2 linked regions of the Arabidopsis thaliana genome follow. The protein of the gene in region 1 binds, or shares a complex with, the protein of each later gene. Each region holds a gene or a part of one and is shown in the gene's direction. Other genes may lie near its edges.

Evidence for each region. The genes of interacting proteins can lie anywhere in the genome.
Region 2: TAF11 (region 1) and TAF5 share a complex: the UniProt entries of both Arabidopsis thaliana proteins name them as parts of the TFIID complex.

What each region holds. Positions count from the first base shown.
Region 1 is NC_003075.7:10,951,609-10,955,364, forward strand, and holds TAF11 (TBP-associated factor 11), read left to right. Parts: upstream 1-1,931; 5' UTR 1,932-2,092; intron 2,093-2,170; 5' UTR 2,171-2,183; coding exon 2,184-2,500; intron 2,501-2,570; coding exon 2,571-2,658; intron 2,659-2,746; coding exon 2,747-2,846; intron 2,847-2,928; coding exon 2,929-3,056; 3' UTR 3,057-3,468; downstream 3,469-3,756. Other genes in the region: BAM3 (Leucine-rich receptor-like protein kinase family protein), read left to right, coding at 1-863, 988-1,316; AT4G20290 (uncharacterized protein), read right to left, coding at 3,551-3,756. UniProt on the Arabidopsis thaliana protein: TAFs are components of the transcription factor IID (TFIID) complex that is essential for mediating regulation of RNA polymerase transcription.
Region 2 is NC_003076.8:8,674,956-8,678,711, forward strand, and holds the start of TAF5 (TBP-associated factor 5), read left to right. Parts: upstream 1-2,093; 5' UTR 2,094-2,161; coding exon 2,162-2,337; intron 2,338-2,650; coding exon 2,651-2,732; intron 2,733-2,817; coding exon 2,818-2,896; intron 2,897-3,012; coding exon 3,013-3,110; intron 3,111-3,208; coding exon 3,209-3,265; intron 3,266-3,381; coding exon 3,382-3,469; intron 3,470-3,562; coding exon 3,563-3,672; intron 3,673-3,756. UniProt on the Arabidopsis thaliana protein: TAFs are components of the transcription factor IID (TFIID) complex that is essential for mediating regulation of RNA polymerase transcription.

The sequences.
Region 1 (3,756 bases):
CAACTTCTCCGGTTCAGTACCAACTTCAGGGCAATTCTCTTACTTCAACAACACGTCATTCCTTGGAAACCCTTTTCTCTGTGGATTTTCTTCAAACCCTTGCAACGGTTCCCAAAACCAATCTCAATCTCAGCTACTTAACCAGAACAACGCAAGATCCCGAGGTGAAATCTCCGCAAAATTCAAGTTGTTCTTCGGGTTAGGCCTACTAGGGTTTTTCTTGGTGTTCGTCGTTTTAGCTGTGGTCAAGAATAGGAGAATGAGAAAGAACAACCCGAATTTATGGAAGCTTATAGGGTTTCAGAAGCTCGGTTTCAGAAGCGAACACATATTAGAATGTGTTAAAGAGAACCATGTGATTGGGAAAGGCGGACGAGGGATTGTCTACAAAGGGGTAATGCCAAACGGAGAAGAAGTTGCAGTCAAGAAGCTCTTAACCATAACCAAAGGATCATCTCATGACAACGGTTTAGCCGCAGAGATTCAGACATTAGGTAGAATCAGACACAGAAACATAGTGAGATTGCTCGCTTTTTGTTCAAACAAAGACGTGAATCTCCTTGTTTACGAGTATATGCCTAATGGTAGCCTCGGAGAAGTCTTGCACGGGAAAGCTGGAGTGTTTTTGAAATGGGAAACACGGTTGCAAATAGCGTTGGAAGCGGCTAAGGGGTTGTGTTATCTTCACCATGATTGCTCGCCACTTATAATCCACCGTGATGTGAAGTCAAACAACATCTTGTTGGGTCCTGAGTTTGAAGCTCATGTTGCTGATTTTGGGCTTGCTAAGTTTATGATGCAAGACAATGGAGCTTCCGAGTGCATGTCCTCGATCGCTGGCTCGTACGGCTACATCGCTCCAGGTACATGACTGATTCCTAATACTACTTTCTTGTATCACACGTAACATTCAAACTTAGGATTTCAGTACTTCTAGTTAAAACGTATGATTGATCTTAGCCCATTTTATCCGTTTCTTGAATGCAGAATATGCATATACACTGAGAATAGACGAGAAGAGCGATGTGTACAGCTTCGGAGTAGTGTTATTGGAGCTGATTACGGGTCGAAAACCAGTAGATAATTTTGGGGAAGAAGGGATAGACATTGTGCAATGGTCAAAGATCCAAACAAACTGTAACAGACAAGGTGTGGTGAAGATCATTGACCAGAGATTGAGCAATATTCCATTAGCAGAGGCCATGGAACTGTTCTTTGTGGCAATGCTATGTGTGCAAGAACATAGTGTTGAGAGACCGACCATGAGAGAGGTTGTCCAGATGATCTCTCAGGCTAAACAGCCTAATACTTTCTAAATGCAGTGATGTTATATATATAAGAGACTAAATATATATTTTTCTGTTTTATGTGTTTCATAGAGTTTTGTTTTTAGAATTTGTAATGATGGTTTGGTGGTGATATGAGTTTATATTGAAATTGAGGAGGAAAAAAAGGGTTAGCATTATATCTTCCTATCATAAAGTATCAAGCAAAACTAAATAACATTTGCTAGAAAATTATGAATTATGTGAAAGATTTGAAAAAATAGATAACTGTTCTTTGATTCATTTGGAATTATAAAAATCATGATGACCAAAGAAAAATGTTGAAATCACTCAAGCATTTGATTTAACATATGATTATCCAATATCTATAGAAATAGTTAGCATTTGAGTGTTTTTACTTTTTAGTATCCAATTCACTATCATTGATATTTTTAATTTTGTTGTCTAGCTCGATTTATAACATTTGGCTAGTTGTAAATCGTTATCCCAACATTGTATTCCAAAAAAAAAAACCAGTTAGTTATTCAGTGGTTTTGAACTGAGCCCAGCCCAAATCCAATGATGTGGTTCTCGAAACTTTTTGGGTTGGTTTAACAAAAACCGGTTCAGATCTTTTCTTTTGATCCACCAATTGATTGGACTAAACCGACTTATAACAGTCGCTACACTCCTATAGAAAAGCTTGAAATTGAACACAGTCGATGAATTTTCCTCTCCGCCTGGAAGATTGTGGAGCTCCCAGTTGTTGTTAACAACGGTCTAGAGATTCGTGTCTCTTGAAATTCGATCTGAGTTTCACCTTCAAGGTTCGTCAATGATCCGTAGCAATTTGCTTCGTTCTAAACCCTAATTTGAGATCTCAATTATGTGATTTTTTCGTTTAGGTTTTAATCAGGAATGAAGCATTCAAAGGATCCGTTTGAAGCAGCGATTGAGGAAGAGCAAGAGGAATCGCCACCGGAATCACCCGTTGGCGGAGGAGGAGGAGGTGATGGTAGTGAAGACGGACGAATTGAAATCGACCAGACTCAAGATGAAGATGAGAGACCTGTGGATGTTCGCCGTCCGATGAAGAAAGCTAAAACCTCTGTTGTTGTTACTGAAGCTAAGAACAAAGATAAAGATGAAGATGATGAAGAAGAGGAAGAGAATATGGATGTTGAGCTTACTAAATATCCAACTAGTTCTGATCCTGCTAAAATGGCCAAAATGCAGTGAGTCTTTGTAGAATTTTGATTGTTCTTCATGTTTCTTTGATGATTGATTGTTTGTTGAATTCTTCAGAACCATATTATCGCAATTCACTGAGGATCAGATGAGTAGATATGAATCTTTTAGGAGATCTGCACTTCAAAGACCACAGATGAAGAAGGTATATATGTTATATGATTTGTGGTTATCAACATTCTTAATTTTGTTTCATTGCAAATATGAACCATTTAGCTTTTATGTTAATGCAGTTATTGATAGGTGTCACTGGTAGTCAGAAGATTGGTATGCCAATGATTATTGTTGCGTGTGGTATTGCAAAGATGTTCGTTGGTGAACTCGTTGAAACAGGTAAGCCAGTGCAAAAATTTCCAATGATTTTGTTTATGTGCCAACAAAGCTCATTTACTGAACCTCAATACATTATCTGTAGCTCGAGTTGTTATGGCGGAAAGGAAAGAATCAGGACCTATCAGACCTTGTCATATCAGGGAGTCTTATCGGAGACTAAAGCTCGAAGGAAAAGTGCCTAAAAGATCAGTTCCACGCCTTTTCCGCTAGTCAACAAGAGCCAAAAGAGAACTTATATCAGCCTAAGACTGGGGAATTTACCAATGCTGCTCAAGGATAAGGGTCTACGGCAGGTTTAAGCTGGCGAGATTTGCCTATCAATCTCATCATAAAGGAGAACTTCTTTGGCTTCCCTGGTGGATCATATTGTTCTTTGATGTTCTTAACTTTGTGTGACAACTTTTGTAGTAAATCAATCTTTGGATACAGACCCTGAAATGGCTATCAGTCTTACGGTTTGGTTTTTATTTGGTTTACGTTTCCAGTTTTCATTTTCAATACAAGATCAATCTTTGACTACAGACCACATGGCCTAAAAGTGGCAATCCGGTTTACTAGGTTGGATTCGGTTTCATTTCCGGTTTTATAGAATTCGAAATCAAATAAAATCATTTGTAATCCGGTTTATTTGGTTAAATTTGGCTATACCTAAAAATTGGTTTTAGTATTGATTCGTTTTTGGTCGAACATTACAAGAACTGGGTTTATAAGTTCAAATTCAAATTGTGTATTTCTTCGGCGTGATTGAAAACCGTCGCGATCAGAATTCGGTCTACTGTCAAAATTGGTACGGAGACGTTTTGAATCACACAAGTTCCGGCGAAAGAGGATCTAGTGGGCCTGATAATGGGCCGATCTCGAAACGAACTATTACGTGAAGAGAAGAAAACAAAGTGGGTTGCGAATTGAA
Region 2 (3,756 bases), on another chromosome or scaffold:
TATAGAAAAGAAATAAATTAAATAAGATTTGTATATTTTCTTAATTTATGTGCAAAAACCTTAAACTACAAATATTAAGAAACAAAGAAAGTATGATTTATTGTAAAATAAGCTTATCATGAAGATGTTCCGTGCAAAACACATCCTTGAAATAGTAACAGTGAGATAAGATATAAAACATCTTATTAATAAAATTTTGTGATTGATTGAATTTGACTCCCCTGTAAAAAACAACAACTGATTTTAAAAACCATACATAGAAAACTATTTTATAGAACAACAATAAATACTAGTTTTTCACTATATAAGGACTTGATTGGTTCTTGAAAATTATATGTATTGATTATTGGGAGATTTGCAAAACTAGCCTTTTTTTACTACCCTTTTGCAACAATACCCTTTCATGTTGTCCATTTTTAAAAATATCTCTCCCCTTGAACAAAATGACCAAATTACCCTCATCTAATAAAAACATGTAATTGGAAACTGAAATTTTCCCGCCAATTTTTTGGCGCCAAAATATTTTTTTTCCCGCCAAAAAAAAGTTTCCGCCAAACTTTTTTCCAACCAAAAAAAAAAATTCCCGCCAACAAAAAAATTTCCCGCCAAATTTTTTTTTCGTAAAAAATTTTTCCTCAGCCAAAAAAAATATTTTAAAAATCCTTGTAAATATTTTTTAGCGCCAAATAGATTTACAAGGGATTTTAAAAGGATTTTAAAAGATTTACAAGAGATTTTTAAAAAGTTTTAAAAAATTTACAAGAGATTTTAAAAGAGTTTTAAAAGATTTACAAGAGATTTTAAAAGAGTTTTAAAAGATTTACAAGTAATTTTAAAAGGTTTTAAAATCCCTTGTAAATCTTTCAAAACACTTTTAAACCCTTTAAAAATCTTTACAAATCCTATGTAAATATTTTAAAACCCTTTAAAATCCCTTGTAAATATTGTAAAACCCTTTTAAAATCCCTTGTAAATATTTTAAAATCCTTTTAAAACAATTTTAAACCCTTTAAAAATCTTTAAAAGACCTTTGTAAATCTTTTAAATCCCTTTAAAATCTCTTGTAAATCTTTTAAAACCCTTTTAAAAATCCCTTGTAAATCTTTTAAAAACCTTTTAAAATCCCTTGTAAATTACCCTTTTAAAATCCCTTGTAAATCTTATAAAACCCCTTTAAATTGCCTTGTAAATCTTTTAAAACTCTTTTAAAATTCCTTGTAAATCTATTTCCCGCCAAAAAAAAAAATTGACGGGAAAAATATTTTTGAAAACAAAATTTGGCGGGAAATGTTTTTCAAAAATTTTTGGTGGGAATTTTTTTCGAAAAGGTTTGGCGGGAAAATTTTGGCGGGAAATTTATTTTAGAATATTTTAGGCGAAAAAATATTAATATTTCATTTTGTTAACCTAAAACAATTTCCAAATAAGGGTAAAATGGTAATTAAAAATTTAAAGAGAATATAAATAAAAATGGATAAAACAAAAGGGTAGAGTTGAAAAGGGGCATCATGAAAAGGGCATTTGAAAGAATTTTTCTTGATTATTTGATATCCAAAATTTTATAATATATTTTTAGAAAACGAGTTAACCATTGTGGGAGGAAATAACTGACCTTGTCTTATATACAATAAATTGTTGCAAGTGTTTAGTTTAACCATTGTAACATTTGATTTAAGAATTATTGTTTAAATATTTTTAAACTGGGTGTTTTGGAAAGTTATTTTTTTTTTTAAATAAAAGTTAGAAATTTTGAGAAGATAACATTTTTTTGGATAATTTTCAATAATTCTGTAAGAATTAATTACTCAAACAATAAATATTGGTATCTTGTCCCAATCTTTAAGTTGAAATAGAGAATCCAAAGCAAGTAATTTAAAAAGAAAATGGTTATGAGATTTTACATCAAAGTAAGGTCATGGGCTTATAATTCAAAAACTCTTAGTAAATTTTGAATCTGGGCATTTGCCCAACCTGCCACCCCCATAGACGGGCCTGGTTTTAATCATAACTTTGAAATTATTATATTTGGGCCACAATTAGGCCATTGAAACAGGCCCAGTTTTGTAGAGACACGGAATCTAAAAAACTGAAGATGTTTCAGCGACGAGATACAAGTTTCTAGGAGAGGAAATTGAATCGAGAGAGAGAGAGAGAGACAACAATGGATCCAGAGCAAATCAACGAGTTCGTCGTGGGCTACTTGAAGAAGAAAGGATTCAGTAGCGCTGCTAAAGACCTTGAATCTTATCATCACCAGAACAATAATGGTAGCTCCTTCACTTCTGTCGATTATCATAACGATCCTGAGCTCACGAAGCTCATTCGCTCCTTTTCTCAGTAATCTCTCTCCCTATCTCTCTCTCTCGTTTCAATTCTTAATGCGAATTGTGTTTTGAATTTTTGGGAAAGTTTTAGTGTCTTTTGTGAATTTTGAAAACCGTAAGGAAAAATTATGTAAGCTCCAACGTTTTTGAGAATCTAAAAATGAATATAATTCACTTTCTGGGTGAAGTTTATGTGAATATTTCTATCAGTTTATCTGTCAAATTTAAGATTTTGATGACATCTCAGTGGCAAGAAATTAGGTTTTTTTGTATGGCTTATGTAGAGAGAGCTAATGGTAATGAAATGTCTGTTCTTTTGTTTGCAGACAAGAAGATGATCCAACTCGGTACCGTGAAGGTTACAGCAAACTAAGGTCATGGGCGTATAATTCTCTGGATTTATATAAGGTGGGGATTTTTTTTTGTGTATCCCTTGGCTGTTTTGGGTAGAGACAGGCTTAATTGAACTGACGAGATGATTCTAATTTTGTAGCATGAATTGCTTCGAGTGATGTATCCTGTGTTTATTCATTGTTACATGGATCTGGTGGGGAAAGGGCACACTCAAGAAGGTACTTGTCAATATAGCAAATTAGATGTACTGAGTATTTTTTTTACCTTCGGTATAAGATTTTTGGAAACAGTGACTTATGCTACTGTGGGAAATAATACGTCTCTTGTATTCCAGCTAGAGCCTTCTTTAACAGCTTCCGCAAAGATCATGAGATGGTACACTTACGGGATCTTCAGAAGCTTGAAGGCGTGCTTTCTCCATCTCATCTAGAGGTTTATGATAAACCTTATATGGTCATATAATATTGATAATGGATTTTTTTTTTTTTTTTTTTGGTTATTATCTTTCTTATGATCTTGGTTCTTATCAGGAGATGGAGTTTGCTCGTTCTCTTAGAAAAAGCAAGGTTAACATCAAGTTTTGTCAGGTAGACTTGAGTGAAAATTGACTAGTAGCTGTAATAGGCAACTGCTTCGAGGTTTCTGGTCTGATTAACTGAATTCCGTGACTGCAGACCTCTAATATGCTTACTGAATGTTGCAGTATTCATATGAGCTGTTACTTCAGTATCTACATAGTACAGTATCGACTTTAATGCTTGGTATTATTAACGAGCACATCAATTTCCAAGGTAAATGTGTTTCTTTCTCTTATATATGCGATAGCTTGTAGCAGTTTTTTGAGTAGAAAATTGAATCAATTGGTCATGGATAATTTGTTGCAGTCTACTCGGGACAGCCTACTTCCTCATCCGATGACATAGAAGCTGTCACCATTGTCGGGAGTTTTCAGGACACTGCTAATCACATTAATCAAAAAGAAATACAGTGGGGAGTACGTATTTCCCCTAAAGTTTCTTTTCTCTTCTATTTTTCCAGAGTTATAACATGTTGATGCCTCATCCCAGGGATGATAACA